Linked DNA regions of Anolis sagrei. The protein of the gene in region 1 binds, or shares a complex with, the protein of each later gene. Links are inferred from orthologs where the notes say so. Each region holds a gene or a part of one and is shown on either strand. Other genes may lie near its edges. The genes, in order: POLR2B and GTF2H5.

Region 1 (16,415 bases):
AAGAGTTTTGAACAGAATATAGGGAATATCTTGGCTCAGGGGTTTTTTTTAATGTTACAATCCAAACGCCCTTTCAGGAAACATAGAGATCACTTAGTGTCTTAAACAAAATCACTGTCTTTCAGCTTAAACTCCTTCCTTTGTTTGTTCTAAGTAGGAAATGTAATTGAAAGACCCAACTCATGTTCTCTTAATATGCTCAGCATTCTAGGGCACTGAGTGGTGATAACTACTTTATATACTTGAGTATAAGCCAACCCGAATATAAGCCAAGGCATCTCATTTTACCACAAAAAACTAAGAAAATGTATTGACTCGAGTATAAGCCAAGGGTGGGAAACACAGCAGCTACTGGTAAATTTCAAAATAAAAATAGATACCAATAAAATTACATTAATTGGGGCATCCGTAGGTTAAATGTTTTTGAATATTTACATAAAACTATAATTTAAGATAAGACTGTCCAACTCTGATTAAACCATTATTCTAACCTTCTTCAATGTAAATGTGCTTATGTATCCTTCCTATAATAATAGAGTAAAATAATATAAATGTAATGAAAATAATAATAATAGAGTAAAATACTATAAATGTAATAATATTAATGACTTTTTCAGCCTAAAAAGGAGCTGGAAAACTTGGCTTATACTCAAGTATATATGGTAAGTGGAACAGTGGGACTTCATTCTTATATTTAAGAAGATGACACAGCCTTAAAAGTAAACACATGACTGCTAAGCTGACTGAAGCCACCATGTGGCAAAATATTCAACATTCTATATAGACTATTTCTTTTTCAGAATTCCTACTCCTTACCTTTTCTGATCCATTAATAATAAAATAGCCACCAGGATCAAGAGGGCACTCATTCAGTTGACAAAGATCACGGTCAGTCAAGCCATTTAGCAGGCAATATGTGGATCGCAGCATGATAGGGATCTTTCCTATAAATGTTTTTTGATGTTGCGTCTGTAACTGATCCTCTCCTTCTTTAACAACTGTCTTAGTTATGTCCACATACAATGGAGCAGAGTACCTTTGAAAGAGAAGTTGAATAGACTTGTAATGATATAAGTGATTTCCCAAGTAATTTAAATAATACCAATTCAAGCTTACATCTTTTGTACTACTATACTGTACTTCTGACAACAATAACAAGTGAGGCATCACCCAATAATAATAATAATAATAATAATTTATTTGTATACCATCTTCTCTCCCCAAAGGGACTCAGGATGGTTTCCAACATGTAAGGCAAACATTCAGTGCCGGAAAGAAACCATACACACAATTACATCAAGAGAAACACCTTTGACACTATAACACAATCTAATTAAACTTAACAGACAAAATAACAACTGAAAGCATCGTAAAATACCAAAAAAAAAATCTGCTAAAGCACACCAAAGATAAAAAAATATTTTAAACCCATTTCATTACAGTTCCATCAGTAGAGGTTCAACAAAACCAATGGCCAGGGTTACAAATAGACATGGCAAATTATAAAAGGGTTGGGCATGGGATAGTGGAAACAGGAATATACTGTATACCATCACTAGTTATAAAAGCTGTAGTTTCTTACGTGAGGTTTCTCAGTCTCGCTTCATTTGGCATCATAGGTGAAGGGGCACCATCTCTTTCCCAATGTGTAGGCTTGGATAGATAAATTTGCTCAAATTTCAAAAGATAGCGAGGCTGAAAATGTCCCAAACACATGGATTTGATTAGACATTTTACAGAACATGACAAGTAGCAGCTTATAAAATATGTTTCATTCTAGTTCTATATTATTAGTTAGATTAAGTGTTCTGAAAATATAGGAATGTATAAATGACAAGCTGGGTGGGAGCAAGTGTAGGTGTAGGTAGGAGTGCCAAGGAGGGCAGCATAGGGTATTTTCAGCCAGGCTGTACTCCTCCTGGCACATCTGCATCAGCAGAGCATGCTGATGATTCACTAGGATCAAGCAGAATTGGCGCATGGCCCCTCCAACACTATGCAGTTTAGGCCTGATTTGGTACTGTTCCCCTGTCTCCACTTCACCATCTTCTTCATCAGCCTAATGACAGAAAGTACATAGTTCAAAATAGCAACTTTGTTTTTTTTTAAAAAAACTGGTCTTCATATGAAAAATATGTAGTTCATCATGTTCAGACAATTTTGAATGAAATCAGAGACACCAGAGAGATGGATAGGCACATTTCTGATAAGTGTATGGGGAAAATGCTTATGCTTCATGGAACATAAGTTGTAAAATGATTAGTTTCTTAAGGATTGTCTTATTGTTTCACATGTCATTTTTCATTGCTGGTATCTAGACTAAGTTAATAGCTTTGATGAGAGGCAACAAATGGGAGTTTGGTGTACAGATCCTTCAAAACAGGACTGTACTTTCCTTGAAGAAGCAGATGCAAATATTTTGGGAAGCATTTGGATCTAGTCTTGCCACTAGTAACAAAAGGGAAGCAAACTCTACTTTAGTTGGCCAGGCTGATTTTATGAGAAACATGCCTAAAAGGTGGCCTGCAGAATTTGTCTCCTAATGGGTACAACAATGTAGGATTTCTAAGAGCTCTGAACTTGTTACCTATTAGCTACAGTGCACTGGTATTAAATGCTCCAAATGGCTTGGAACGAAAATACCCAAAGAAACACTGCTTCTTCTACCAGCCCATCTCTTGAAAAAAAAAATAGCCTTTTCTGCAGGGCATCCCATTTATGAAATACCTTTCCTAAACTGCTTTAAACAAAATACCAACATTTTGGATTTGTTTCATCATCATATCAAAACTTACTGGCTCTTCTACTTCGCCTGTAGCATGTTGAGCTTCTGCTTGCAGATCAATGGGTGGGGCATCTTCGACAATTCTCTGCACAGACATCTGAATGAACTCATCAAATGAATCAAGCTGCTGACGGACCAGGCCCTTTTCATCAAAGTAAGAGCTTTGCAAAACAAGTTAAAATCAATGAGAATTACTACTGCAGAATAACAGCGCATTCCAAAATAGCTTCTTCAAATATCCTCCCTAGACCTCCTTGATTAATATAAAAATGTTAGTGAACTACACAAGAGTTCCAAAGCAGAAATACATCGTTTCATTTTTTGATTCATGTGAATATTGTAACATCCCTAACTTCAGAAGAATAATTTCCTCCAGTATTAGACTTGAAACATACTAGTATGTTCAAGTTGCATGATGTATTGTTTTCTGTGGAAGACATTATGGGTAGGTTCTTCAATTCAATGGAATTCAACAAAGTTTAAAAAGGGTTTATTTTAGAGTGAATCTGAATTCTTTCATATTCTTTATATGAACACTTACCTGATGACAATCCAGCATGCTTCTTGCCACAAATCTGGGGTGATTTCATCATCATCTTCATCATATTGCATATCTGCCAAGAAAAGGCAAAGTCCAACACTTCCATAGTCGTTTTTTTAAAACCTTTCGATGCAAATATTTTCACAAAATACATGGGGATAATATATTTCACTTTTATTTCTAAAATTGCAAACATTATTTCCTTTGATCTCAGCAGAGGCCTTCACGGGAAGAACTGTTTTAAAGCTAAAGACAATGCAGTCGCTGTTGCCTGTTTTTGGTCTAAAGCAGTGGTTCTCAACCTGTGGGTCCCCAGATGTTTTGGCCTTCAATTCCCAGAAATCCTAACAGCTAGTAAACTGGCTGGGATTTCTGGGAGTCTAAAACTATTTAGCTGCTTATGATCCCTTTATTTTATCAGTTTAAACTTGTTTACTTATGCAATGCTTCTGAAACTAAATAAAGCAGAGGCCTTGCCCAGGTCTACTATTCAAGAATCTTACAAAGAATAGAGATTCGATTCCCTCTGTGCAAACTACTAAAACATGATCTGAATTCATATTTATATCAAGGCATTTCATATATCTAATTATAATACTTTTCCAAGAATTAAGAATACAGCACTAGGCATTTTTATGAGTATATCACAGTAAAGTAAGGAAAGTTGGTTACAACTGAAAATGCTCATAATTGCTCTATAAGACATCACTGTCTAAAGCAGATCAACAACTTGCAAGAAAATCAAACTCCCTACTTCAGCTGTACTGTGTACTGGTTGAAAAGGTGGCCACAACTCCATGCAGTGCAGGGTACTCATAGTTTACACTGGATTATCATGTTAATATAAATGTTAAAGGTTCCATCCCCAGTCCTTATTCTGCAGGACTGGGTTCAGCACCTTGGACACTTCCTAGAAAGTTTAAATTGAAACTGGGAGTGATTTGCTGCCCAACTGATATGGTGAGAGCAAGCTGTTCCCACTATGGAAAGATGAAACATTTGTTAGAGGAGAGATGTTGCTCAATTGCTCTGCTTATCCAGGCTGAGTCTCATGTGTGGAATACCCTGTCTAAGAGGTGTCCTTGAATTGTGTACAGAGCAGCTGGTGAATTCCTTAAACTTGTCCTTCCCATGACACCAGGCAGTTTAGAAGCACTTGGCCCTTTGACAAGTCTGGTTGACCATTTTATTAAATTGTAAAGCATCAAGCAAACACCTTTTCACCACTTCCAGTGAATGAGCCCTTCCTCAAAGGTCACTGTTGCCACTGAGTGGAGATCCGAATTGTAAATGTACTGTAACCAGAAAAGGCTTTCAGGGTGCTTCCTCCATTGCTTTTAATTTACTTTATTACATGCCATGCTGTGAACTTTACTTGGTACTGTTCCATTATCTGGGTGGAGGCCACTAGGGACTGCTAGAGAAAGATACTTCATTTTATTGGGGTGGAAGGTGGGTTGAAGGAGCAAAACCATTTTCCCCTGTTTTCCTGTTATTCTCCCCACTCATGTCTCTGTCATGGAAACAACCCTTGTCTATGATAAGGGAAGTGGGGAGGGGGAATAACCAGTGAAAATGGGGGAAGTGGTTTTCCTCCTTCAACTCCCCCCCCCACTAAAATGAAGTATCCTCCCTTCCCAATCCTCCCTCCACCTGGATAAAGAAACATAATTACTTTAAGCGATTAATTAAAACCATAAATTATGGTGCGAATCTTGCCTTGCTTCAGTAATTAGAAACTTCAACTTGGCCAGGCTATGCCACCATTAACACGTAGCTGATATAATCCTTAAAGGTGTTCAGAGTTTTCCAAGGTTTTAAATAATAATAAAAAGAAAAAAACTTTATTTGTATCCTGCCCCATCTTCCTAGAAGGACTCAGGGTGGCTTACAAGGTAGTGACAATGCAAACAAAAACATCAAATATATAGCAATAACCCAAATAACCTAAATCAATAAAGTAAACACCAATGAAAAATAAATATGCTTGAAAAATGTTTTGCAAGCATTGTATTGCAGACCTTTCTTCTGTTGCAGATTGGGGGTGGGGGGAGGGAAGGAATGAGTAATTTGGCTAAGGCCACTCAGAATATCTATAGCCCCTTCCACACAGGCTGTATAAAATCCACATTGAACTGTATTATATGGCAGTGCAAACTCAGATAATCCAGTTCAAAGCAGATATTGTGTATTATCTGCTTTGATATTCTGGGTTATAAAGCTGTCTGGAAGAGCCCTATATCTATTTATCTATCTATTTATCAGTATATATGTACGTTGGTTGCTTGGCACCACAAATAATTGAGGGGTTTGAGCCTTTTGGGACTAAAGCTGAGAGAAAGAAAATGATCAAAATGGATTGGCCATTGGTGAGTTGAAGTGACCTCTGTGATGTGACTGGGAAAGAAAAGGAATGATGCTGCTACTAGGACCCCTTCCACACAGCTGTATAAAATCCACACTGGGCTGTATTATATGGCAGTGTGGACTCAGATAATCCAGTTCAAAGCAAATATGGTCATCTGCCTTGAGATTCTGGGTTATATGGCTGTGTGGAAGGGCCTAGGTGACATGTGTATGAGGGGAACGGCGGGAGGAAGGAAACAGATAAAGAAGAAAAAGAAAGGAAAGAAGACAATGGAATGTGGGGGGAAATATATGGGGGGAGAAAGAAGGGAAGTGAAAAGAAAGAAGGACAAAGGAAGGAAAGGATAAAAGAAGAGAAAGGTAAGACTGAGAGAGAGAGAAGTGGAGGAGTGGAGGAAAGGAAAGGATTAAAGGAAAAGAAGGAAGAGAAAGGAAAGAGAGAATGAAAGAGAAGTGGGGGAAGTGAAAGAGGAAAAGGATCGGAAAAAGGAAAGAAAGGTAGAAAAGAGAGAGGGACAAGGTGTATGAGAGAAATGGAGGAAGGAGTCACAATTAGGATGTTTGGCCTCTTGGACCTTACGTGCGTCATCTCACCCTAAGGAAACAATTCCTGCCTTCTTTTAGAGGGCAGGAGTTCTGTGGCCATTGCTGAGCTGCTACCAGGGACACCTTCCAGGGGTATCGCTACCCTTCAGCCGCCCCAACGAGGAAGACGTAGCGCCTCAGGAGAGCCTCCCCTGCCTTCCCCTCGCCCTCCGGCTTCCCTCTGCAGGGCCTCACCTTCGTCCGCGTCGTACATCTTGGCGGCGGCAAGTCAAACTCTCAGGAGCAGAAAACACAGGCGGAGAACGTCGCTCGAGCGAAAGCACCAGCTTATGGTCGCATTTCCCAGGCACTTCCGTCCCGCTTACAAACGTCACTTCCGTTCACTCCAGAGAGAGCCTTGGAGGCCCTTCGCGCACGCGCTTTCTTTGAACGAGCTTGAGCCTTGGCGCCTGCGCAATTCGATTGTGCGCACGACAGGGTGATGCCAAAGAAAGCTATAGACTAGACAAGCTTGTCCATGCCTGCTATAGACAATAATGGAGTCTATCCAGTGTTTTCCACATCTTAGTCTTCCAGATGTTTTGAATTTCATTTCCCAAAATTTATCACTGTTGAACAATCTGCTGGAGGCTGCTGGGAGTTGAAGTACAAAACAGCTGAAAAAGCTAGGCTTGAAAATCACTGGTTTTGCATAAAGAAAGCCCACATGGCGAAACTATTTGGGTGCTGTACTATGACAAGTGGGGTTTATATATCTGTGAAATGGCCAGCTTAATTAGCATTGAATAGCCTTGCAGCTTCAAAGGCTGGTTGCTTCCTACCTGGGGGGAATCCTTTGTTGGGAGGAGTTAACTGGCCCTGATTGTTTCCTGTCTGGAATTCCTCTGTTTCCTAAGTGTAGTTCTTTATTTACTGTCCTGATTTTAGAATTTTTTAATACTGGTAGCCAGATTTTGCTTTTTTCCATAGTTTCCTCCTTTCTGTTGAATTGTGGGAAATTGAATTGTTAGGAATTGTGGGAATTGAAGTGCAGAACACCTGGAGTGCCACAGTTTGCCCTTGCCTTTGAAGGCTATTGCCTTGACGGCTTTTTATTTAGTTTCAAGGGCGTCTTGAGAAACTGCAAGTTGCTTCTGATGTGAGAGAAATGGCTTTCTGCAAGGACATTGCCCAGGGGATGCCTGGATGTTTGATCTTTTACCATCCTTGTGGGAGGCTTCCCTCATGGGGAGCTGGAGTTGACAGAAGGACCTGCTCAACCTGGAATTGAACTGCTGACCTATTGGTCAGCTGTCCTGCTGGCACAAGGGTTTAACTCAATGTGCCAGCAGGACTCCAGCCGAATTCTGCACGAGCTTAGGAGTCCCCTAAAGGCCTGGCCTGCGGTGCAAGGAAGAGGCCACAAGTTGGATTCTTTCTACAAAGGCTTTTATTGCAGGCCAAAGCAACAGGCGACAGCAGGTCATTTTGTGCCCATTGCACAAAACGTTTGTTGCAACTTGAAATGGGGTTGCAATTTTTTTTATCACTTTCACAGAAAATTGAAAGCATTGTCTCATTGGTGTACAAAAATCAATCATTCCATTGGTCCAAGCTGACTAACCGATTTTCATTGGCTCTCCATGACTCTAACAATCAAGAAGGCAAACAGTCACAGTGGCTAACAATCGCACAATTATGCTTTCATATTTCTGGCCCTGAATGTCTCAGTGGTCCAATCTTATGTGCTTTTCTGTTTCAAGCATGGACTTCAAGCGGCTGGGAAATTAGGGGGTACTAGCTAACCTGTTTTGTCCTGATGAACTTTTATTTGAGAGGTAACTTCCTCTCTGTGACAGCATTTTCCCCAACTGTCAAACAAAGGCCTCTGCAAAATGAGGACATATAGGGCTTTCACTCATTGGCACCCATGAAAATTCTATTAAAAACTATGTCTTCCTCAGCACCACTGGGGGTTCCTTGAGGCCTATTGCCTTGAGGCCTCACTTAGGCGATCCCTCATTGTCCGAGTAGGATTGTCTTCCAAGATCGGTGTACTGGGGGTGGGTCTGTAGGTGACTGTGGAGCCCTATTCTTGATCTGCATCTTCTGCCACAGTGTGGGCATTGGTTTCCAGGTGGAAGGTGGTCCCAGTCGTGGTTGGTTTGACACACCTTCCTCTTGGCATGCTTATCTCTTTCGCCCTCCATTCGTGCCTCCTCAAATTCTACAGCACTGCTGGTCACAGCTGACCTCCAGCTAGAACGCTCAAGGGCCAGGGCTTCCCAGTTCTCAGTATTCCAGAGTTTTTAAGGTTGGCTTTGAGCCCATCTTTAAATCTCTTTTCCTGTCCATCAACATTCCGTTTTCCATTCTTGAGTTCGGAGTAGAGCAACTGCTTTGGGAGACGGTGGTCGGGCATCCGGACAACGTGGCCGGTCCAGCAGAGTTGATGGCAGAGGACCATCGCTTCAATGCTGGTGGTCTTTACTTCTTCCAGCATGCTGACATTTGTCCGCTTGTCTTCCCAAGAGATCTGCAGCTGATGGAATTGTTCTAGGAGTTGCATGTGATGTCTGTAGACAGTCCATGTCTCGCAGGCATATAGCAGGGTTGGGAGGACAATAGCTTTATAAACAAGCATCTTGGTATCCCTACGGATGTCCCGGTCCTCAAACACTCTCTGCTTCATTCGGAAAAAAATGCTTTGAGGCCCATTGCCAAGCCTTGAGGCCCAGCCACATTTCAGAGGAGCCTGAAAGGAGAAGTTATGCAGAGTCCAGGGGCCTCCGATAGGGGGCGGTGTTGCTTCCGGAAGGAACGCTCGCTGGCTGGCTGGCTTGGGCCGCTCTGGCCCTCGGACTCGCTGCCCTTCCCTCAGCTTTCCCTCACGGAGGAGCATGAACGGCCTGAGGCGGGCGCTGCAGCTAGGACGGTTGTGGCCTGGGGCGCTCCCAAGGCCTCGCCGCGGCCTGGCCTCTTTCCCGGGGCTGGGCAAGGGCTGGGCCGCGGCGGAAGGAGAAGAGGAGTTCGTCTTCCCGGAGTACCTCCCCTCAGAGCCGGGCCCGGAGGAGGAGAAGAAGCCTCCCGCGCCGCCGCGAGAAAGAGCAGGCCCGAGGCCGGAAGAGCGGCGCCGGAAGCCGCCTCGGGCGAGCTTCCACCAGGCCTCGGGCCTCCCGGACCCGTCGCTGCCGGCCAGCGGCGTGGGCTGCCCGGGCTGCGGGGCCGAGCTGCACTGCCGCGACCCGGTTCTGCCTGGCTACCTGCCCAGCGAGAAGTACCGGGCCCTGAAAGAGGAGGGGGAAGGCGGCGAGGGCCTGGAGGGGGCGGTGTGCCAACGCTGCTGGCTCCTGGTGCACCACCGGCAGGCGCTGAAGGTGGAGCTGCCCCGGGAGGAGTTCCGCAGCCTGGTCGGCGCCGCCTTGAAGGCCCCCTCGCGCCACAACCGCCCGCCCTTAGTGCTGCTCCTGGCCGACCTCCTCGACCTCCCTGAGTCGCTGCTCTTGCCCGACCTGTCCAGCCTGGTCGGGGACCAAACCCACCTCCTGGTGCTGGGCAACAAAGTGGACCTTCTCCCGGGAGACTCCCACGACTACCTGCGCCGCCTGCGGGGAAGCCTTCGCCAGGCCTGCGCCCAAGCGGGCCTCCCCGCCAAGGAGGAGCCGCACCTGATCAGCGCCAAGACAGGCTTCGGCCTGGAGGACCTCATCAGCCGCCTGCAGCGCTCCTGGAAGTTCAATGGGGATGTCTACCTGGTGGGCGCCACCAACACCGGGAAGTCCACCCTCTTCAACGCCCTCCTGCACTCTGACTACTGCAAGTCCCGGGCCTCCCAGGCCATCCACCGGGCCACCATCTCACCCTGGCCAGGTCAGCGGGGCATCATCTCTCCTGCGAAGGTGGCTTCCATTGGGTTGCTGTGAGTTTTTCGGGCTGTAGGACCATGTTCCAGTCATAATAATACAAGGGATATCCGGAAAGTAATAATAATATAATTATTAAACCTCTGAGGATGCTTGCCATAGATGCATCAAAACGTCAGGAGAGAATGCCTCTAGACCAGGGGTCCTCAAACTAAGGCCCAGGGGCCGGATGCGGCCCTCCAAGCTCATTTACCCGGCCCTTGCTCAGGGTCAACCTAAGTCTGAAATTATTTGAAAGCACAAAACAACAGCAATCCTATCTCATCAGCCTAAAGCAGGCCCACACTTCCCATTGAAATACCAATAAGTTTATATTTGTCAAAATTGTTATTCATTTTAATTATTGTATTGTTTTAAGTGTTTTTTATAAGGTATGTGCAATGTGCATAGGAATTCATGGTTTTTTTTCAAATTATAATCCGGCCCTCCCAACAGTTTGAGGGCTGTGACCTGGTCGTCTGTTTAAAAAGTTTGTGGACCCTTGCTCTAGACCATGGCCATATAGCCTGAAAAAACCTACAACAACCCACTAATTATTTATTTATTTAGAGTTTTTATACCCCGGTCATCTCACCTCCGAGGAGGGACTAAGGCCAGCTAACAACATAAAATTAAAATACACTTCATACAATTCATACAAATTACAGCAAAAATCAGTTCATCCAAAAGAATCACAAATTCATCGCCATCCGCTAGAATGGTCAGCAGTTATTGACTCAGTCATCATTCTGCGAATGCAGTATCCCAAAGCCATGTTTTTACCTGCTTTCTAAATGTCATGAGGGAAGAGGCAGATCTAATATCCATCGGGAAGGAGTTCCAAAGCCGAGGGACCACCACCGAAAAGGCCGTGTCCCTTGTCCCCACCAAACGCGATTGCGAAGGCGGTGGGAGGGAGAGCAGGGCCCCTCCAGAAGATCTTAATAACCTTGATGGTTCATAGGGGAGAATCCGTTCGGACAGGTAAATAGGGCCAGAGCCGTTTAGGGATTTATAGGTCAACACCAGCACTTTGAATTGTGCTCGGAAGCTGGTTGGCAGCCAGTGGAGCTGGTGCAACAGAGGAGTAGTATGCTCCCTGTACCCCGCTCCCGTTAGTAATCTGGCTGCCGCTTGTTGTACTAGTTGTAGCTTCCGGGCAGTTTTCAGAGGCAACCCCACGTAGAGAGCGTTGCAGTAGTCTATACAGGATGTAACCAGAACATGTACCACCGTGGCCAAGTCAGACTTCCCAAGGTACGGGCGCAGCTGCCGCACAAGTTTTAATTGTGCAAATTACAGGGTTAGTCAAAATGCATAGGCCAATAAGCCATTCAATTGAATGGCTTATTGGCCTATGCATTTTGACTAACCCTGTATAATAACTTTATATTTATACCCCACCATGTTAGCCATTTTTATGTTGGAAAACGCCCAGACTCCTCTTGAGGAGATAGGGCAGGTTACAAATAAAGTTGTATTATATTATTGTTGTGAAGGCACACTGGGTTGAAAGGAAAACTATATGTCTGGCTATACCCGGTGGCTATTGGTATACCCTCTGATGTACTTCAGTTCTTTAAAAATAATGACGCTTGAGACAGAATCAAAGTTAACCAAATAAGTTTACTGGAAACAAAAGGCAAAGTTCTTGAAAGTCAGAGTTCTTGAAAGGCGAATCAAGATAAAATATTACAAAGTGAAGTTTGTTGATGGAACTTAGTTACACTGATAAAAAACACTTGACTATATTCATAAAATATGAGGTAAAACACTTGACTATAATTGTGGTAAGTCACTTGGTAAAATACTTGGCTATTGAAAATAAAATACTGGACTAAACTATTGGTAAATTCAGCTATGAAGGTCTATGAGGTATACACAGCTTTGACGGTCTGTGAGGTATATACTAAGCTATGGTGATGGTATAGTACAAGCTATAGTGACTATTTTGTATATATATGTGCTATAGAATGCCTGTTTAGATTGCCAGGCCAAGGAACCCAGACAATTTCTGGCTTTCTCCTCTAAAACTCTGATACAGACTAAAAAGGAGGGAAAAGCCTTTCAGACAAGTTCTGAGGCAAAAGGGCTAAACCAACAGGGCCAGCCTTTAGCAATTGTTGTTGCTGCTGCCTGGGGGCATCTTTTTTTTTTTTTTTTTTTTTGGAGGTATAAACTGGCACTTAATTATTTGCTGCCTGGAATTCCTCTTTTTCTCTTTGTTCTTTATTTACTCTCTTGATTCTGGTACTTTTTAATACTTGTGACCAGATTTTATTCATTTTTATGGTTTCCTCCTTTCCATTGATATTGTCCACATTCTGATGGATTTCAATGGTCTCTCTGTGCAGTTTGACATGATTGTTGTCAGAGTGGTCCAGCATGTATGTGTTCTCAAATAATATTCCATGTCCAGGTTGGTTCATCAAGTGCTTTGCTATAGCTGACTTCTCTGGTTGAATTAGGCCTTTTGTTTTCTTTGATTTGTGCTTGGGCACTGCCATGAAAATGAACAAAATCTGGCAGTATTAAAAAAAAACCACCAGGATCAAGGCAGCAAATAAAAAACACCACTCAGAAATAGGGGAATTCCGGACAGCAAACAATCAAGTGGCAGTAAACACCTCCCAAACAAAGAATCCCCTCATGCAGCAACAGGTAGGCTTTGAAGCTGCAAGACTATTCAGCGCTAATCAAGATGGCTAATTGCAACATTCACACTTGCCTCAAATAGACAGGAGTTCTTTCTCCCACCCTAAACATTCCACAGATATATAAACCCCACCTGCCTAATGGCCCACAGACCTCACAAACTGCTGAGGACGCCTGCCATAGATGTGGGTGAAACATCAGGAAAGAATGCTACTGGAACATGGCCATACAGCCCAAAAAACTCACAGCAACCCAGTGATTCTGATGTTCTTTATAAACCATAGCAGAAAAGTTTAAATTTTCACGTCATGTATATAGGATTCAAAGGAAGAAGATGTACAATTTGTCATACCTGGCCATTGTAACATAATTCAGTATTATACTGATATTATACATGGCTGAATGTGTTGAAAATGCAATGTCCTGTCTGTGACTCATATGGTTATAATTAAAACAAGTTTTGAACTAGGAATCACTTGTTGTATGATATGTTCTTTAGCTATTACATTGTACCAGTTCTGAAGAACACAGAAATAAAGCAGAATAAATACTGAAACAATTTTTTTCATCCTTTTTCTCATATTCCCTGTTTGCCACCTCTACGTTTAATTTTCTGTCCATGGCTGGGGTGCTTAAACTTTCTTAAGATGTTAACAAGAATGCCAAACTGCACATAATACTTCTACAGACTGTGTTGTTTATGTAACTACTTTAGAATCTTAGTTTTCAGTTGGGTCCATGTAGTCATAACCAAATGTGGGGTTTTCTTTTCTAGGAACTACATTGAACTTGCTGAAATTTCCAATTATTAATCCTACACCTTACCGAATATTCAGGAGGGAAGCAAGGCTGAAGGCAGATGCAGAAAAAACAGAGGAAGACCTTAGTGAAGAAGAACGAAAACTGCTTAAATCTCTCAAAAAGCAAGGCTATTTAATAGGTGGGTAGTTTTTGGGATCTGTGTTAAGTACTTCATAGCACAAATAGTTAATTTTATTTTTGGTACACGTTTATTTTGTTGCAATCTTTACCTGTTTTTCTCCTACTAGTAATATATGAATGCAGTCTAAATTTAGGCACAATATTCTTGGAGATCATCAGCTAAGACTATAATGGAGGAGAGGTCTATAAACATATAGTTTATATATGTTTATTATTTATTGGGGATAATATACATTCACAAAACACAATCTAGTTCTTTGAGAACATTATTTATTAATGTAGCATAATCAGACTTCCAAAGATTTTTGTTTTTATCATTTTTTGTAACACTAAACTCTGTTGTTTTTGTATATTGGTAAGAGACAAATTGCTTCATACTTGTGTATTTACTACCATACAAGTGTGGAAATACGTAATTTTCTTTGTGGAATTCTAGAGTTAAGAATCCAGTTATTTCTGTACTTCTTTGGAATTAAGTGCATGGGGCATAGTGCAGATATTCTCAAGAGTAAGCATGTGGTACAGTTGCACCATAAAGATATTAGTTCATGATCCACTTCAAAACTGCCTGCCGGGATTGACAGTGAGAGGATCCAAACTATTACATCAATCAGTGTAAGAAATTTCTGTAAGCACAGTATTTTTATTTTGACCATCTATATAAATAAAAATGTAATGTTTGTTTGTGGGATTAACAGAACTCAATAACCTCTGGACGAATTGACACCAAATTTGAACACAAGACACCTATCAAAGCAATCTATGTCCTTCACACACACAATTAATAATAATAATAATAATAATAATAATAATAATAACCGGAAAGAACTCAATCTGCTACAAAGCTAAATGACTATACAGAGCATGCGTTAAAATGACACCCTCCTGCCCCCCCCCTCCTGCATGAGCGGGGGGGGGGGAACAACAGCTGAGAGAGAGAACCACTTTAGAGAGGGAGGGAAAGGTGGCCCATAGATCCTTTTCACAAGCCCCTGCCTCTCCCCTCTCAAACACTTCTGGTCCAAAGCATTTCACCTCCTTGCCAGCCGAGAGAGAAAGAGAGGCGGCATCTTCCTCCTCCTCACACCTAGAGCCAGCCTGCTCTTCCTCCTGGAGGTGCTGTCTGCTTCTCTGCCTTTCTTCCTTTTCTCCCACTGCATTGTTGCTTGGGCATTTAAAAAAAGCCCGACAGGAGAGGGAGGGGAGAAAGAAAGGAAGGAAAGAAGGAGAGAGAGAGCACTCTCCTCCAGATCCACCCCTTTCCTTCCCTTTCCCTCATGGCTGCCTGGGAACTCGCACAGGAAGGATTTTGTGTGTCTGTATAAGTGTGTATGTGTATACACACACACACACACATCTCTACACACTTCAACTTCCAGAAAGCTCACCCATATTGAGTTATGGGAAGGAATTCTGGGAAATGAAGTCCAGTACGCAAAGAAAGGACAAAAACAGGAAACGCTGTCCAGGAAGGCACAATCAAAGAACTCCCGGCAGATGGCCATCCATTTTTACCTTATTGCAACCCTGGGCTACAATATCTACAATAATAATATCTATCAGTCTTTAATAATAATATCTATGCCTGTAATAATAATAACTGTAGTCTATAATAATATCTGTCTGTCAATAATATCTATATATCTATAATAATATCTATATGCCTATAATAATAAAATATCTATACTTCTGTAATAATAATAGCAATATCATATAAATAATAATAATAATATCTATATGCCTATAAGAATATGTCAATAATAATAAAAATATCTATACCTCTATAAATTTTTTTCGTTTCAGGAGTGACTTGAGAAATTGCAAGTCGCTTCTGATGTGAGAGAATTGGCTGTCTGCAAGGACGTTGCCCAGGGGACATTGGTTGGATGTTTTGATGTTTTCCCATCCTTGTGGGAGGCTTCTCTCATTTCCCTGCTTGGGGAGCTGGAACTGACAGAGGGAGCTCATCTGCACTCTTCCCAGAATTCGAACCTGTGACCTGTCGGTCTTCAGTCCTGCCGGCATAAGGGTTTAACCCAGTGGTTCTCAACCTGTGGGTCCCCAGATATTTTGGCCTTCAACTCCCAGAAATCCTAACAGCTGGTAAACTGGCTGGGATTTCTGGGAGTTGTAGGCCAAAACACCTGGGGACCCACAGGTTGAGAACCACTGGTTTAACCCATTGCGCCACCGGGGGCTCCACCTCTGTAATAATAACAGCTATATCATATCAATAATAATAATAATAATAATAATAATAATAATAATAATAATAATAATAACAACAACAACAACAACTAGATGCCTATAATATCTATAGGTCTGTAATAATAATATCCATACGTCTGTAATAATAATACCTGTATATCAATAATATCTATACATCTATAATGATAATAATACTTATTATTAATAATAATATCTGTGTCTATAATAATAATACCTACGTGCCTATAATAATATCTATACATCTATAATAATAATAATAATAATAATAATAATAATACCTATATAATATCTTTGAACAGGGTTATATGGCAGTGTGAACTCAGGTAATCCAGGGCCCTTCCATACATCCATATAACCCTTTGGCCTCTAGGAGACTGAAATGGGCCTATATTATGTTGACACTTTGCCACTTCAGTTGTGTATTGATAGTATAGAAACCAGCTCTTCCTCTTTTCTTTCTTTCCCATTT
Region 2 (16,674 bases), on another chromosome or scaffold:
TGCTCTGTGAAGTTCTTTTCTCACCTGGTAGGTAACACCTACAAAAACAATATACAATAGGGAGAGTCAAAATACATTAAGGTCCTTCCTTATTGAGCATACTTATTATGAATAGAATATTGGCTTTACCTTTTAAAAAAAATACTAAAGCTTTTTCTTCCCTTACAAAGTCTCTGGGCATGACTGTGACAACACTTAATACTAGGAAAAGGGTATTATTGGCACCAGTATCAACTCTATGAGCCAAACACTGGCAGCTTCAGTTATGCCCAAGAGTTGCCAAGACTTGTCTATTTGTCTCAGTTTACTGGCATAGAGAGAAAGAAGGATATAATATCAAAGGAGAACTCAGCAGAGCTTTTGCCTCTAGAGCCAGTATGTGCAAACTTTGGCCCTCCAGGTGTTTTGGACTTCAACTCCCACAATTCCTAACAGCCTACAGTTCAAAACACCTGGAGGGCCAAAGTTTGCCCATACCAGCTCTAGACTCTTTTTTCTGAATCCCAGTAAGAGAACAAAAAGATTTCTCCAGTTAACATTGTAAATGACACAGGAATAATCCTGGCCGTAATGCAGCAGTTCTTGGCCTACACTGGCTGGGACATCTGGGAGCTGAAATCCAAAACACCTGGAGGACCAAATATGTGTGTGTTTTAATTTTAATAACTTTTATTTAAACATTTGAAATATAATACAAATGCCTCATCTCAGCTTCTGGTCAAAGGACATTTAGTATGTTGCCAAGTTTTAAGTTTTGTTTATAGTGTTTTGATGCATTAAAACTATTCTCAATTCGCTTCTGACACGATAAATAAATAAAATCTCACCTTCTATTCCCAGATCTATACGCTGTCCCCTAATCCTCCCATTACTTAGATAGCATTATAAAAACACAGTGGCGGAGGACCAAATGTTGAGTATTACTATTCTAATGGAACATCACTTATACTTCTCTACAAATTGACCTCATGGATAAGTTGATACTTTCTGAGCCAAAATTATGGATTTTGGTATGTTCCATACCAAGGAGGAGAAAGCATCAAGAGCTGCTTCAGAGGGCCAGCCGTCAATGGCTACTGCCATTTTCCTGCCCAAGCATACAAAAAAGGCCTTTTACTACTCCAATCGGAAAACGGATGTTTCCTTTTTTAAAATCAAGGTACAGCATTATCATCCTGGATAACCTAAAAGAAGCCCTGAACTGCTCTATTCTATTTGCATTTACTTAAGAGAAAGTGGCAAAGAACCACTTCTGCCCCTGTTTTCCTGCCCAGCTAAAAGTGACACCACAGTAGAAAGACTAGAGGGGCTGGTGCTTCTTTTAAGTCTGTGGTTCTCAACCTGTGGGTCTCCAGGTGTTTTGGCCTACCAGCCAGTTTACCGGCTGTTAGGATTTCTGGGAGTTGACGGCCAAAACCTCTGGGGACCCACAGGTTGAGAACCATTGCTTTAAGTTCTTCTGAGATGTACTAAGCTCTTGTCTTTCACCACTCTACTCAAGAGAAAGATGTGGCTCCTTTATTGATAAGTGTTACTTACGCTGACCCATGGTTACATCAATTCAGGGTTTGTTGGACTAAAAATTCTAGACTTATGCATGAGTATATATAGTACATTTCTCCAATAATCTCAGTGTAACAAAACTCTTTGGTAATGCCCATAATATCAATCCTCTCTTATCACTGTTTTTTTTTTAAGCTGCTCTCTCAAATCTTTCCGACTGAAGCAGTAGACAATAGTTCCTTACCTTGATATCCATCAGTATCTAAAGAAACTGATGGTAAATAAATGTAGGACTTCAGTTTTTCTTGCTGTGCAACTTGAGTATCAAAAGACAGTGATTTCTTTAAAGCCAGAACTTCATATGCAGCAAACATACAACCACTTAAAAAGACAGGTGGAAAGAACAAAATATATCATACCAAGTATAATGCATATATTTAAAACAGATGATCTCTTAAGTGAAAACTGAACTCATCCCTGTGTGCTGTAGTTCTTTGAATGTTCGATCTAAAAATCTGCTTTGGATATAACAGTCCTTGCCCAATATTACATTTCTCCAATAATCTCAGTGTAACAAAACTCTTTGGTAATGCCCAATATTCATCAAACCAGGAACAAATTATGTGAATGTGCACACCCTCCTTTATTGTCTTCCACTGCTCTCTATATCTTTAATGGTCAGTTTCAATAAAGCTATAATGGTTTTTAAATCAGAGTTTTCCCATCGCAACTGACCCAGGCAACTATATTTTAAGGGTCCCATCCAATCTAAGATATAAAATTACCATTAGATCTGGACTCAGAGATAAAATATGGAATCATGCAAAAATGCAGCAGGCAAATTCCTTTGTGAATGCGATCTTTGGTTTTACTTAATGTATTGACTAACCTCTTTTGATTGACTTCAAGTGCCACAGTTCTTTCTAAATCCCATGTAAACTTTGCTTAAATTATGTCATTAGCAGCAATTGTCCAAATATGGGAAGATTTTCAAATTCCCAGTTCTAACAGATAATTTTTGAAAACATGAGACTATCAAGAGACCAAAAAAGAGTATTTTGTACATAAAAATACTACAAATCTTAATGACCTGAGATGAAATGTGGAAGTACGTAAGTATCATGAAAGCCTACTACAATAAATCAGAAGAAGAATGGATTACAAATTTACCATCTGAACGTTCTTTGGTTCGATGCAATGAGTCACTCCAATCATACTGAGAATCAAAGTAATACATCTTTTCTTTTTGTGAAATGTTACTCTTTCTAAGGCACCTTTCTGCATGGGAGGGAGGTGTTGATCAAAGTATCTATATGAGGAGCAGGGTTAGAGAAGGAAACTCTATAAAGAATAGGCAGGTAATTGTTAATTCCTAGACACTGCTGGAGACATCGTGTATGGTGTTGATATGGCTGTATAACTGAAGAAACGAAGGACTTCCCTAGGGCTCATGAAATCAAGCTGAAGTAGAGGTAAGTGGAGACATTTGGTAGAGTCAAGCATTAGATGAGACCCAGCACTACATTTCTTTGGAGAAAACAAAAAGCAATATCTAGATGTGTTGAAAGAACATCTGACTAAACAAATGTGAAAAGTGACCAAGCAGATCACGTGTAAAATGATTATTATTTTTCTTTTATTTTGGAAGTGGCCTTCATTATTGGTTATGACTGTGTACTACAGGCATTCATAGTAAAATCTGAAAAATGAATATATGTAACATTTTAAATTTCAGTAGCAGAGGGACAAAAATAATATCACGTCAACAACAACATTTTATTAAGGTCCAAAGACCCTTATTGCACCATAGGTGTATAAGGTATGCAGGTTAATGAGATTAACAACATCCAGTTGATTAAACACACTTCAGTTTGAACTATATGCATGAAAATAGATGCTTTCTAATTAACACTTACCCAAGAATAAGTGATCCAGTTAACTTCACAATTTTCCCTTAAAAATAAAATGTTCAGCATTAGTATATACATGCAAAAAAGGCAGATTTTAGTATGAGTTCCCCATGACAGCAGAAATGACAATTTGCAGTGGTAGAGGCTAATTAGTTATACCCAGATCCCACTAAAATCAATATGTGAAGATTGTAACACAAGAACAGCTAATTTTCAATAAAATTCTAGGGTGTTTATGGCAAAGTAAATCTCCCTAAATTCAATGGTGTTTACTCCTAGGATTAAAGATCCGTGAGCATAAAACTGCAACTTTTGTAAGGATTAAATCCAATGTTGTTGTTGTTGTTGGTTTTTTTTTTTTACAAACCATTGTAAAGATATTAGAGCTCAACAATGAAGTTCACCAAATGCAAGGGACTTAATTCAATAATAATAATAATAGTAATAATAAACTTTATTTGTAGACCATCCTATCTCCCCGAAAGGACTCAGGGCTGTTTCCAACGTAAACATGGCAAACATTCAATGCCAAAAAAGGAAAATCATACAAACAAATTACAACAAAACAGACCACATTAAGCAATCTAAAATGTGAGTAAATGTTTGAGCAAATGTTCAAAGAATTTGCTATTTATTTCAATTAGAATAATTTATTTTGTTATTTTTTCACATGTATGTTCCTTCCACCTTCATTCTGAGAAGTTTCAAATTAATAGTAACTATTAACAATTTATTCTGATTTGGAAAGGGCTTTCCCACTTTATTTTGAATGAAGCTTTATATTAAGCAATGTTAGCATTATTCAATTTTTCCTCAGGCTGCTACAGTTCCATAGCATGTGACAAAAAGGGAAGTTTGCTCATTTCTCGCATAAGTTTTCAGAACTACAGAACAACCATGGCTACTTTTTTAAAAAATACTGCTTTTCTGGATGCTGAAGCTTCTCACTAGTCTTCAAAAGCCTCCTATAATCATGTAGAAACCTCCCCCACACTAGAAAATATGCAAAATTATTGCCCACAAGTATCCAGAATACCTCTGTTTTCTTTTGCACTCTCAAAATGTTGAAAGGAAAAAATATCTTTACTTCTTTTGCCAATGTCCACTTTCTTCCTGTCACCATTTTTGAAAGTGGCTATAGAAGAAAACCAGCAAATGGGCTTGGTTTATGTGGGGAGAGGGGGAAATTGACCCCTACCCTCATGCATTTCCTGGCCCCTGCCTTAGAGTAATAATAATAATAATAATAATAATAATAATAATAATAGATTTGCACTTACTGATATTTTTCCATGATTGGTCGGGTTTCCTGGCTGAACCCAGAGTTCCTATCTTTCTACAGCAATTCCCACAATAAGCAGCCAGTGACATTCTGCAAAAGTTTGAAATGGTAATTTAACAGGTAGGTCCTCATTCAAATGTCTTCTTTCTACAGCAATTCCCACAATAAGCAGCCAGTGACATTATGCAAAAGTTTGATATGGTAATTTAACAGGTAGGTCCTCATTCAAATGTCTTTCTCCTACACCCTAGTCCCATTTGTCACCTGCGCTTGCCCTAGTGTGTCCTAAAGAACAGCAAGTATCACGTTTTAGAAATGTTTAAATGAAATGTATGAAATACATTTCACACATGAAATCTTTGTTTATAACAATAAATATTCCTAAGACAGTGAAACATGTACAGAAAAACTCTTAAGGAACTTTAAACATATTTTTCCATGTATCTTGACTGGAAATGTCTATGTGATATAAGGAGCATAAAAGAGAGGAAGCAGAGGGGAAGGAAAAATGTAGCATTCCTTTTAAAACTAACTAGTTCCTATTTTTGCATGAGCTTTCATGGATATAAAACCCCATTTTTTGAATGCAGTACAAAGAAGTGAATTTATATTCATGAAAACCCATGAAGATTATTTTACAAAAAGTTAGATTTAAAGGCGATGTTACAATGTTTTCCTTCTCCCTTTTTTTCTTTTCATACTTCAAGAGATTAATACAAAAAACACATCTCTTTGAATGCAACATTTCAGTTTTGTAAACCTTCACGTATCAGCACATAAACGAGATTAACTGCTCTGTAGAAAACACTCCCAAGGACACACATCCCACACACTGCAATGTGGTAGTAAATTTCAAAATCTTGCATTGGACAGACTGAAGATTTCATCCAGGTGAAATGAGAAAGATTTCTATTGAATGCTCCCCACCCTACCTTTGGGTTCAACAAGTTTTCATCCTACACACAGAGAGAGAGAGAGAGAGAGAAGGTGGATTCATCCATCTTCACTATATAATTATCCCAGAAATGTATACACCCTTAACAGCGGACAAGTCTGTAATATTTATTTTTGCCAGTTCCCCACTATAGACTTTTATCTCGCAATTACCCCTTACAAAGGTACACACCTTTAAATGGATCAAATACTCCAATAGCAGTGTGAAAGAATTACGAGAATGATATTAAATGAAGTTTCTAACCTTTGTACTTTTACAAGGCAAGCAACAATGCAGGGACAATATGAACCTGACATGAAATGGTAACTTAAAATGGAATGTGGAACTGATTGGTGTTTTATGTTTTTAGGATAAACTTTTAATTAATTTAATGTTTACTATTTTTCAATTCCATTTAGGTGTTTATATGTTTTTGTTATTAAATTGTACATTTTTTTATTTTTAACATTGTTAGCTGCTTTAGGTCTCTTCTAAGAGAGAAAAAGTGGAATATACATAATAATAATAATAATAATAATAATAATAATACAACAGATCCCAAATGTAGATTCTGCAAGGAAGCAGATGAAACAATAGATCACATCCTGAGCTGCTGCAAGAAGATCGCAGACAGACTACAACTAGAGGCACCGTTGCTCAGATGATTCATTGGAACTTGTGCCACAAATACCATCTGCCTGCGATAAAGAACTGGTGGGATCACAAGCCGGAAAAAGTTACAGAGAATGAACACGCCAAATTCCTCTGGGACTTCCGGATTCGGACAGACAGAGTTTTGGAGCATAATACTCCTGACCTCACAATCGTATTAAAAAACAAAATATGGATCGTCGATGTCGCAATCCCAGGTGACAGCAGGATTGCAGAGAAACAACAGGAAAGGCTAGTACAATATGAGGATTTAAAAATCGAACTGCAAAAACTCTGGCACAAACCAGTAAAGGTGGTCCCAGTGGTGATCGGCACACTGGGTGCAGTGCCTAAAGACCTTGGCCTGCACTTAAACACAATTGGCGCTGACAAAATTACAATCTGCCAGCTGCAGAAGGCCACCTTACTGGGATTTGCATGCATTATTCGCCAATACATCACACAGTCCTAGACACTTGGGAAGTGTCCGACGTGTGATCCAATTCAACAGCGATCAGAGTATCTGCTGTGGACTCATCTTGTTGTGTTTTAAATAATAATAATAGATAAATAGTTATTATTGAATCATGGATAACAATTATTTTTTAATATAAATATTTTTACCTAACCCTCAAATAATCACTCTATCACAGGCATAGTCAAACTTAGGCCTTCCAGGTGTTTTGGACTTCAACTCCTACAATTCCTAACAGTCTCAGGCCCTTTCCTTTTCCACCTCAGGCGTTTATGCGGCTAAGGGGGAAAAAGAAGGGGCCCGAGGTTGCTGAGAATTGTGGGAGTTGAAGTCCAAAACACCTGGAGGGTCCAAGTTTGACCATGTCTGCTCTATCTGGTGTTAAAGAGTGATGGCTATCTATCTACGTATCTATCTATCTCTATGAAATCTATCTCTCTATGTTTGTGTATATATAGAATATATAGAATATATATATATATATATATATGTACATACATATATCATTAATACATAATATAATATACAATAATATATGTATAGAGGGGATTATTGGTTCCAGCCTGGAACTCTGACCTTCCAAGACTTTTGGACTTCATTTCCCAGAATCCCTGACCATTGGCGGAGGCAGCTGAGGCTTCTGGGAGTTGAAGTCCAAAACACTTGGAGGACTAGCTTGCTTCTCAAAGGACAGAAAAGTAAGAGTCTAACGAAACAGTCAATAAAGGGAGGCCGGTCCCTAGCTGTTGTATAGAGATTGCAGTACTCCCAGGTGCCTTGGTCCCCTTTGGGCTGTGCTAGTGAGCCCTGAAGCCGGGGCTTTCCTCAGGGCGAGTCTCTCCTCTCCCCTCCCTCCCTACCTGTCCATCTCAGCCGCCAGCCTCCGGCTAACAAGCTCCTCAGGCGTAAATCCAGCCAGAAGCCACGCCCACAGGAAAGTCAGCCACGCACGCGCAGCCAATCAAGTTCCATCCAATCCGGTGTTGAGTCGACTAGGCGCATGCGCAGTGTCGACTCTTCTAGAGCCGCGAGGGACATCCGTTCCGGCCGCTTCCGGTTGGTGGACAGCAAGCGAGCTAGAGCTTTTGCGTCGTCAAGGCGACGTCGCTCGTCGAAGGGAGTGTGAACAGGAGCAGGTTGGCGGTGCTTCGTATCTCCTCGCCTTGGTGGGCTGTCGGCCCTGTGGTTCGGTTTCAGTTTTGTCCCCCAGCTTGATTGTTCCCCGCCTACGTACATGGACGCATCTACACTGCAGAATTAATGCGGTTTGGCTCCACTTTAATTACCATAGCTCCATACTGTGGGATCATTGTGGGTGAGGCAGCCACGCTCTTTGGCAAAGAAGGCTAAAGACATAATAAAACTGCAACTCCCATGATTTCAAAGCATTGAGCCCTGGCAGTTAAAGTGGTGTCTTGCTGCATTAATGCTCTAATGTACAAGGAGACCTTTCTTCAACTGTTTGTGCATATACAGGTTAAGCATCCCTTGTTTGGAAATCCAGAATTATCCAAAATCGCCCACATGGGTTATAGAAATAGTGGTATTACTATTTTACTGACACAAAAACATAGTATGACACAGCAAATAATATATAAACAACTTACCTATCCGAACGTGTCTCCCCTTATGAACCGTCCAGGAATTTAAGATCATCTGGGGAGGCCCTGCTCTTGATCCTGCCTGCCTCACAGGCACACTTGGTGGGGACAAAGGACAGGGCCTTCTCAGTGGTGGCCCCTCATCTGTTGAACTCCCTTCCTGGGGATATTAGATCAGCCCCCTCCCTCCTGACCTTTAGGAAAAGAGTAAAAACCTGGCTGATCAAGCAAGCTTTTGGAACCTCATTGTAACCAGATAAACTTAGTATTGTGAACGAATATGGAATGGCTTAATGATGCAAATTGACATGGATTTAAACCTAGACGTCATTTATTTTTATAGTTTTAAATTGTTTTTATATGAATTTTATTATGTGATTTAACCAGTTTTAAACGATGTATTTATGTGTGTTCAGCATCTAATTATTGTCAGTCGCCTTCGGGCTGAAAAGGGCAGGATAAAAGTGTGGTAAATAAATAAATATGCTGGATTTCATATCACAAAATCACAAGTCAAACACTTCCCAAGCATTTAGGACTGTGTGATGTATTATTATTATTACTATTATTATTGTGTCTATATCACGCTTTTTCTCTCCATACAGCGACTCAAAGCGGCTCACAACAGCATTGCAATACAACTTAACATATACATATAAAATCACAGGAGCCCTTGACGATCTTAAAAACTTTCAAAAGCCTTTGCAGTCTGATATAGTTCAAGCTCAATGTTATTAATATAGTCTGTAAAATTACCTTCATATGATGTGTATACAGAACATTAATTTTGTGATTAGATTTCCAAGATATCTCATTATGTAGGTATATGAAGATGTAGGTGTTTCAAAATCTGGAGGGGAGACACAACTGAAATCCAAAACATTTCTGGTTTGAAGGATTTTGGTTAAGGGATTCTCAACTTATGTTGCAGTTTGCGGTTTCTCGCTGATGAGGGATTGCCTTTCATTTGGCTTCAGCAAATCCAGAAAAGGGTTTTGGGTAGCATTGATAGACCTCCCCCATCTCCATTCAAACAAACAAACAAAAAATAACATTCGTTGCATGCAATGCTTCAGTTCTGTAGAAACTTTCTAATCAGTATGTAGCCTTGATGAACTATTCTGCAGGCTGTACTCCTGAGAACATGTTCCCAGATTTTAGACCCAAACCATGGGAGTAATAAGGACAGCCCCTTTTGATGGCACAGGATGGTGGACCTTGGGGATGTTACTGTGCAGTGTGCCTTAAGTATCCACAACAGTTGATCAGAGCATAGCATTCACATAAAAAGCATCAATTCTCACGAGGGAAACAGATACACCTTTCAAGGGAGTAGTTAACCTTGAGATTCCTTCCCTTGCCCAAGGACTCAGAGTAATGGGTCCCAATTACAGGAAAGGAGATTACACTTGAATCCTTGCCATAAGGAAGAACTTCTTGGCTGTAAGAGCTGTTCAAAATAAATTCAATTCTTAACATGTATAGGATTTAAATGAACTGTTCTAACAGGAATTTGTTCAATTTACCAATGTGTAGGGTTTTTTATCCCCCACTGAATATTTTCCTACTTGTTTCTTTAGGAATCGGACACATTTGGGAAGATGGTGAATGTTTTGAAAGGAATACTTATAGAATGGTAAGCAGCAACATATTTGTAATCAGTCATACTTCAGACATGTAGAAGTGGATTAATATATTTGATAAGAAAACCTTTCATAAGGATTTCATTATCATAATACTGGAAGTATTTTTACAGTGATAGTGCCAAGTTCTTTCTTCAGAAAAATAATCCTTGACTTAAAAATATTTTGAGTTTCCTCAGACTTGGCTGTTAGCCATTCATAATCCTTGGGATAACTATCAACTACTATGTTGCCTTAACAGTTCTTGTTTAACCATTTTTAATAATTCTCTCAATAATTTCAAAGACGTCATTATTGAAAACAAGAGTATATTGTCTGCGTAAATGATTGTTTAGTCACTCTTCCAAAGAGTGGATTAAGGTTCATGACTGTGGAGTGACAAACTACTACTGAATAATAATTCATTCTGAGTGCACAGAAGTTTAGTTGTGCTAAGGGTTTAGTTGTGCTAAGCTTACTTCACTTACATGTCATGTGGTAAGATAATATATGTATTTGTATCTTCACAGTGACCCAGCTATGAAACAGTTCCTGCTGTACTTGGATGAGTCAAATGCCCTAGGGAAGAAGTTCATCATACAAGACTTGGATGAAACGCACGTTTTTGTGTTAGCTGAGATGATTAACTGCCTGCAGGAGAAAGTGGGAGAATTAATGGACCAGAACTCTTTCCCCATTACACAGAAATAGACAGTGGGTTAAGTATTGTCTCTTCCACACTGTACTTATCATGTGGAACTGAAATTCTCTGTATAGATTTTCCTGGTGACTGATTTGGGTCAGATTGGATAGATGTCATCCCTCTCATAAATGTGCTGTTATTTATTTAGATTATGTGTGCTTAGGGGTTTTTTCCCCCCTAAATGTGAGAAGTATTTGCAGTTCTGGTGAAAATAAAGTGACTGTCATTACATGTTATTTTGAGGGTAATTTCTTTCATCTTATTAACCTCTCCTGTGTGCCAAAGATTGAGTGAGTGAAGGAAAGGAACAATGCCTGCCATAGATGTGGACGAAACGTCAGAAGAGAATACTTCTGGCACATGGCCATACAGCCCAAAAAACTCACAGTAACACAGCTGTCTATAATTACTAGAAGCTTGTTTTTAATTACAGGTTTTTTTTTCAAAAACGTGGCGCCAATTTGAAATTGTTGTATCTCTGCAACTACAAACTGCCCCTGAATGAAACCTTTACCACTTGAAAGGGTGGCTCGTAGACTTTCAAATGATTACTGCTAGATGCCTCTCCCAGGCCACAAACAGCCCCTAGCTCTAGTCATTTAGCCACAATTGCCAAAGAGTTTTGACAATTTGAAGAAACAGGCCACTATGCATTTCTGAGGAAAACTTGATAACTGACTAAACAGTTTCTAATGTTTAGTGTAATCATAACATTTTGCCATTGTGAAAATGCTTTGAAACTGGGACATCGTTTTGAAACATCTGGGGTTTTTTTTTTGCTCTTTTCTTTTGATATTCACGGCTGCTTTGAAAAGCCTGATACCAATCTCATATTGAATAATAGAAGTGCTTATACTCAGCCTTACGTGTGTTTACTCTGAAAAATATCCTTGAATTCAGTGAGCAGCCTGTGTAGAATTATTTCCTTAGAAAGAGTATTCTTGTGAATCATCTGGAGTTGGACTTTATGCCCTTGGCAGCCATGTTCATTTCCTAATTTTTAACACTAAATTCTGTACTAGGGTTCTGTTCACAATTATTTATAAATAGCAAATAAGTAGCATAATCATTAAACAAAGAGCTTTTTCTAATATTTTTGATCATCCAGTGACATAATTAATGTATAATATCAACATAAATATTACATGTGAATACATGGCTAGAAGCATAAAATACAGAGCTAATAAGCAATCGTTTATACTATCAAAATAAACAATTATCTTGTCTGCATTTATTTTCACTATATAGTACAGTGGTTTTCTACACTACATGGTACTAATGCAGTGAAAACATACAAAATAATGATGTTGTAGCTCATCCAAGCTGTATAGCCAATATCTGCAGGAGCCTGACTGGATTTCTTTGAAGAGGGCACAGCTACTAATGTGCAGAGAAAAGGCCCTTGTTTATTTGTGATCTATTCCTCAGTTTCTAACTCAAATTATGTTGCATGTAAATTACATTGTAACTGGGTTATGAAACAGTTCCTGCTTCACAGTCTGGATCAGTATCATAAGAAATAATTGTATAGCTAATTTCTGACCTCAGAAATGGTAGAGAAAGGAATTAAACAAAGTTTCCAATCATGGCTCTGAAGTGGTTAATATGCATCCCTTCACCTAGTTCTATTGAGCCAAATATTTTCCCATTAATTTAATGCATGCATGATCACAATGATGCAATGCAGTTATAATATTGTATATATATATATTAATTCCCATTATTTTAAGGTATTAATAGCCTCATGCAATAATACGTGAAGCTTTGTTCTTCCTCCTGTTTTTTTTTTTTTTTTAGTTCTGAAGGTTATTTGCCTTATAGCTGGCGGATTTTCTGGATTTTCCATATTTACCTGGGTTTCCAAGGTTGAATTTTTTTCTGGCAATCAATGGATTAACATATATCTGTATATCTCTTATGTATCCTTAAGTCTTGATGTATCGGGAAATTGGCAGAAGAATGAGCTGTTACCATATACATATAAACATGTTGTCCTCAGCTGCACAGCTTCCAAAGACCTTGAATCAGTCTATGCACATTCTTATTGAAAAACAATACACTCCCCCCCCCCCCAAAAAAACCCCCAATCCTCTTACTATAAGCATGTTTGTGTACAATTAGTTCTACACTGGCATTTTGTTTGTAAGGAGCTTAAAGAAAGGAAGAGAGCTTGTCACTTGTAAGAATTTTAGTTATCTATTGTGCTGCAGCAGCCTGTAGGTGGGCCAGCTTTGCTGAAAGGAAAATGTGATGCCTTGGTGCTCAAAAGGCTGCCCGCTCTCTATTTAGCAATTAACTAAAATATCTCAACACTACCTATCATGTCATCTAAACAAAGCAAAGATCTTAGATAAGTCGCTCTGGATCTGGTTGTTTTCTTTGGCTTACTTCCATCCTGATTGCATCAGCCAACAACCCAATAATGATGGATTTGTTATAAGCCAGGCATTTAATTTTATCTCAAGCTTTCAAACCTATCTTTATAATTAGGTTAGTAGCAGGCCTGGAACTAGTCCACCCCCATTGCCATGACACACCACTGTAATACCTAAGTATTACAGCCTCAAGAACTTAAACCAGGCAAATAGAATTCCAAAAATCAGCACAGCCTGTCGCAGTCAATGTTGTTCTCATTCAAAATTATAATAACACAACTACAATAACTTAATTGAAAGGGAATAACACTTAAGAGTTAAGACCATCTGGGGATAGATATTGGCGTTGAACAAAGATCCAAGTTCAACACTTGCATTCAATAACTCACATTACCAGTTACTTTCTTCCTATCATTTTGCCCCAGAATATGTTCTTTGCATTTTGATCTTGTTCCCATAGATAAGAGAAATAAGAATATGAATTTAATGTTTCATCTCCATTGCATAACATATTCCTAAATATATTTAAAATCCTTTGTTATTTCAAATCAAACAATCACATACTCATCTCAAAGTCTTATTAAAGGGTATATGCCAGTAAGGGGAGCTCTTGCTACATTTTTGAAGAAAATTAAAAAATACAATAACTCTGTGTTTGATATATTTTCTGGTTCTTTGCGTTTGTAGTATATAAAGCAGGGAGAGGAACTTTATCTTTTAATAATTGATAACTTGTATAATTTTATTTTTATTACTATTAACTTTGGTCCTATCGGATATTGCACAATTTACTTTGGAAAATGTGAAACAATCAGGTATCAGAAGATAATCCTTCTTTAGTGCCAGGAAACTCTATAGGCTAACCCAGGCGTGCACAACTTGTGAGCAATAAGAGGTCACAATTATATAGGCTGAGCCTCTTGAGACTGCAAACAGGTTTTAGCACCTGACTTTCCAAGTAAGGTATAATTAATTATTAATTAGAATTGACTTTGTGTGCCTTGAAGTTGTATCAGGCTTAGGGTGACCCTATCACAAAGTTTTCTTGTCAAGATTTGTTCAAAGGCGATTTGCCTTTGTCTACCTCTGAGGTTGAGAGAGTGTGACTTGTCTAAATTTACTCAGTGGGTCAGGACCTCCCAGTGGTGCAATGGGTTAAACCCTTGTGCTGGCAGGACTGCTAATCGAAAGGTAGGCGGTTCAGATCCAGGGAGCGGGGTGAGCCCCGTCTTGTCAGGTCCAGCTTCTCATGCAGGGACCTGAGAGAAACCTCCCATAGGATGGTAAAGCATCTGGGTGTCCCCTGGGCAACAACTTTGCAGATGGTCAATTCTCTGACACCAGAAGTGATTTGCAGTTTCTCAAGTCTCTGACACACACACACACACACAAAACCCTGGGCATTCAGAGCCATTATCTGAGGTTCAAACTACTACACCATGCATTACAAATTCCTTTCCTCTCTTTTTCCTACAGACCTTTCTTTCTTCCTTTTCTTCCTTCTTCCCTCCCCTCTCGTTACCTTCCTCTTTTTCTTTATTTCTTTCTCTCCTCCTTCACTCCCCCCCCCCTCTTTTTCCTCCCTTGTTTCTTTTTCTCTCCCTTTCTTTTCTCCCTCACTCCTTCCTTTCCCAGGGACAGGTGGGTGATGGTGAGCAGGTGGCCAAGGCAAGTGGGTGGACAGCTGCTGCAAGGGAAAGGGGCATGGACAGGCAATGGCACTTGGCAGGCCACACCAAGGTCTTGTGCGGACCACATATGGCCGGCACGCCATATGTTGTGCAAGCCTGATATAGATAGTGATCCCAGCAGGATTGAAGCCTGTATGCTGGCTTGCAAATCCATTGCATTTCCCCTGTGCATACTATACATTTAACATTTTATGCTATTTTGATTTAGGATTTCATTTTTCCTGAAATCCTCTTTAGATCAAAAAACAAAAAGTTATGGGAGCAATGCATGTTTCAGCATGGCATAATTGTTGGGTAGGACTGCAATATCAGTCCAACGCTATTCTTCCAGGTGGGGCACAAATGTAAGATGTGCCCAAAACTGAGCAGGAAGGCAAACAGACAACAAACAATAAATTTGGCCGAAGGATCTACCAAGTCCCAGCATTGCTTTCAGTCCAACCTTATTCACAGCTTTGGATGAGAAAGATAAAGTTTGATCCAAGTATCAGTATTTTATAGAACTTCTAAGTTATAAAAATGATGTCCCTATGAAGTGAGAGACATCCCCAACTGAGAGATTCAGCATATAATTCCATCACCACAGAATGGTTGTGCAGTTAAATATTTTTTCTGTAAGCCATCCATACTAAAACAGAATAAAATATGCTATAGTCAGTTATTTGCAGATTTGATTTGAGATTCTGATAGTGCATTTACTATCTGTCTTTTTCTCCTCCTTTTTAATTGCTGCCATTAATGTTGAGTAATTTATTTTATGCCATCCTTTCAGATGTCCCCTTCCACAATGACGACTGTATTAATTTGAGTATGCTCTTTATTGCAGCTTGCAGAGAAGAAAGCAGATTTGTTTAATTGCCCTCTCTGTTAAAGTATTTAGAAGCCGACCCACTGATATGACACACAATGTTCTAAAAATAAACTACGATCCTTAGAAGATTTAAGCTTTTTAAAAAGCAAGGCTTTAAACCTAGTAATCAATTTAATTTTATGAGAATCTTAGTAATCCAACAGTCATTAATATTAACAATGAGAGGCATTGAAGAGAGGATGTTATGACAATGTAATAACAGTAACTGCTCTTTCAGGATTTCATTATTTGGGTGCAATGGCTCATGTATAGATCAGAACTGATAATACGGAGCTCAGCAAGTATATGTTTTATATTTTCAGAAACTAATAAGTTTGTCATACACCAGAGAAGGAAACCCCTGACCTTAAACACAACACCAGCTTGGTAAAATCAGCAAGGAGTTTATTGAAAAATGTAAGTAGGCAAAGCAGTAAAATTAGCAAAAACAGTAAAGTTCCAAAACATAGATTAGTCCATGAGCTTCAAGGCAAAATACGATGCATAGGTATAAAAATCCATGAAATAGGCACACGAATTCATAAAACAAGACAGCATTTAAAATCCAATACACAAATTAGGAGCTTGGCAAAAACTTGGTACATGAAATGAAGAACACCTGAACGCAAGACTGTCATGAAATTCCAACATTGACCCAACCGAGGCAACTCATTCCCATGAATCAATATAAGGCTTTTCCAGATCCCGAAACCGAAAGGCAAGCATTTATCTTGATCTTATCATCAAATAAAGATCTCTCTTTTCCTGTAAATGAACTGGTCTTCTTTGCCACTATTTACAAAAGCCTTGCTTTCTATCTACACTCTCATTAACCTTTTTCTAATTAAATTCGGTACCTGACAAATCATCTTCAGACAGCTGATCTGAGAAAGACAGGGAAGGGTCTCTCCCAGGAATGTGACCTTGTGAATCTTCCAGAGACAGCTTGGGTCTCTCATCTAAACTTAACTCAGGCCCAACAAACCCTCATCCTCACTGCCAACAGACACAGGTCCACCCTCAGGAACATTACCCCCATTCCCATCATGAACATCAGACACAATCACAGGCTGAACA

Evidence for each region.
Region 2: POLR2B (region 1) and GTF2H5 share a complex: the UniProt entries of both Homo sapiens proteins name them as parts of the TBP-based Pol II pre-initiation complex. The link is inferred for Anolis sagrei from reciprocal best matches to the Homo sapiens genes POLR2B and GTF2H5.

What each region holds. Positions count from the first base shown.
Region 1 is NC_090022.1:195,381,797-195,398,211, reverse strand, and holds the start of POLR2B (DNA-directed RNA polymerase II subunit RPB2), read right to left. Parts: upstream 6,619-16,415; 5' UTR 6,493-6,618; coding exon 6,474-6,492; intron 3,400-6,473; coding exon 3,327-3,399; intron 2,947-3,326; coding exon 2,796-2,946; intron 1,696-2,795; coding exon 1,583-1,695; intron 1,037-1,582; coding exon 817-1,036; intron 1-816. Other genes in the region: NOA1 (nitric oxide-associated protein 1), read left to right, coding at 9,119-10,088, 13,551-13,715. UniProt on the Homo sapiens protein: Catalytic core component of RNA polymerase II (Pol II), a DNA-dependent RNA polymerase which synthesizes mRNA precursors and many functional non-coding RNAs using the four ribonucleoside triphosphates as substrates.
Region 2 is NC_090021.1:69,032,767-69,049,440, reverse strand, and holds GTF2H5 (general transcription factor IIH subunit 5), read left to right. Parts: upstream 1-7,750; 5' UTR 7,751-7,921; intron 7,922-9,936; 5' UTR 9,937-9,957; coding exon 9,958-9,992; intron 9,993-10,508; coding exon 10,509-10,689; 3' UTR 10,690-10,917; downstream 10,918-16,674. Other genes in the region: protein SERAC1, read right to left, coding at 1-38, 1,748-1,884, 3,420-3,456, 4,694-4,785, 7,616-7,623. UniProt on the Homo sapiens protein: Component of the general transcription and DNA repair factor IIH (TFIIH) core complex, which is involved in general and transcription-coupled nucleotide excision repair (NER) of damaged DNA and, when complexed to CAK, in RNA transcription by RNA polymerase II.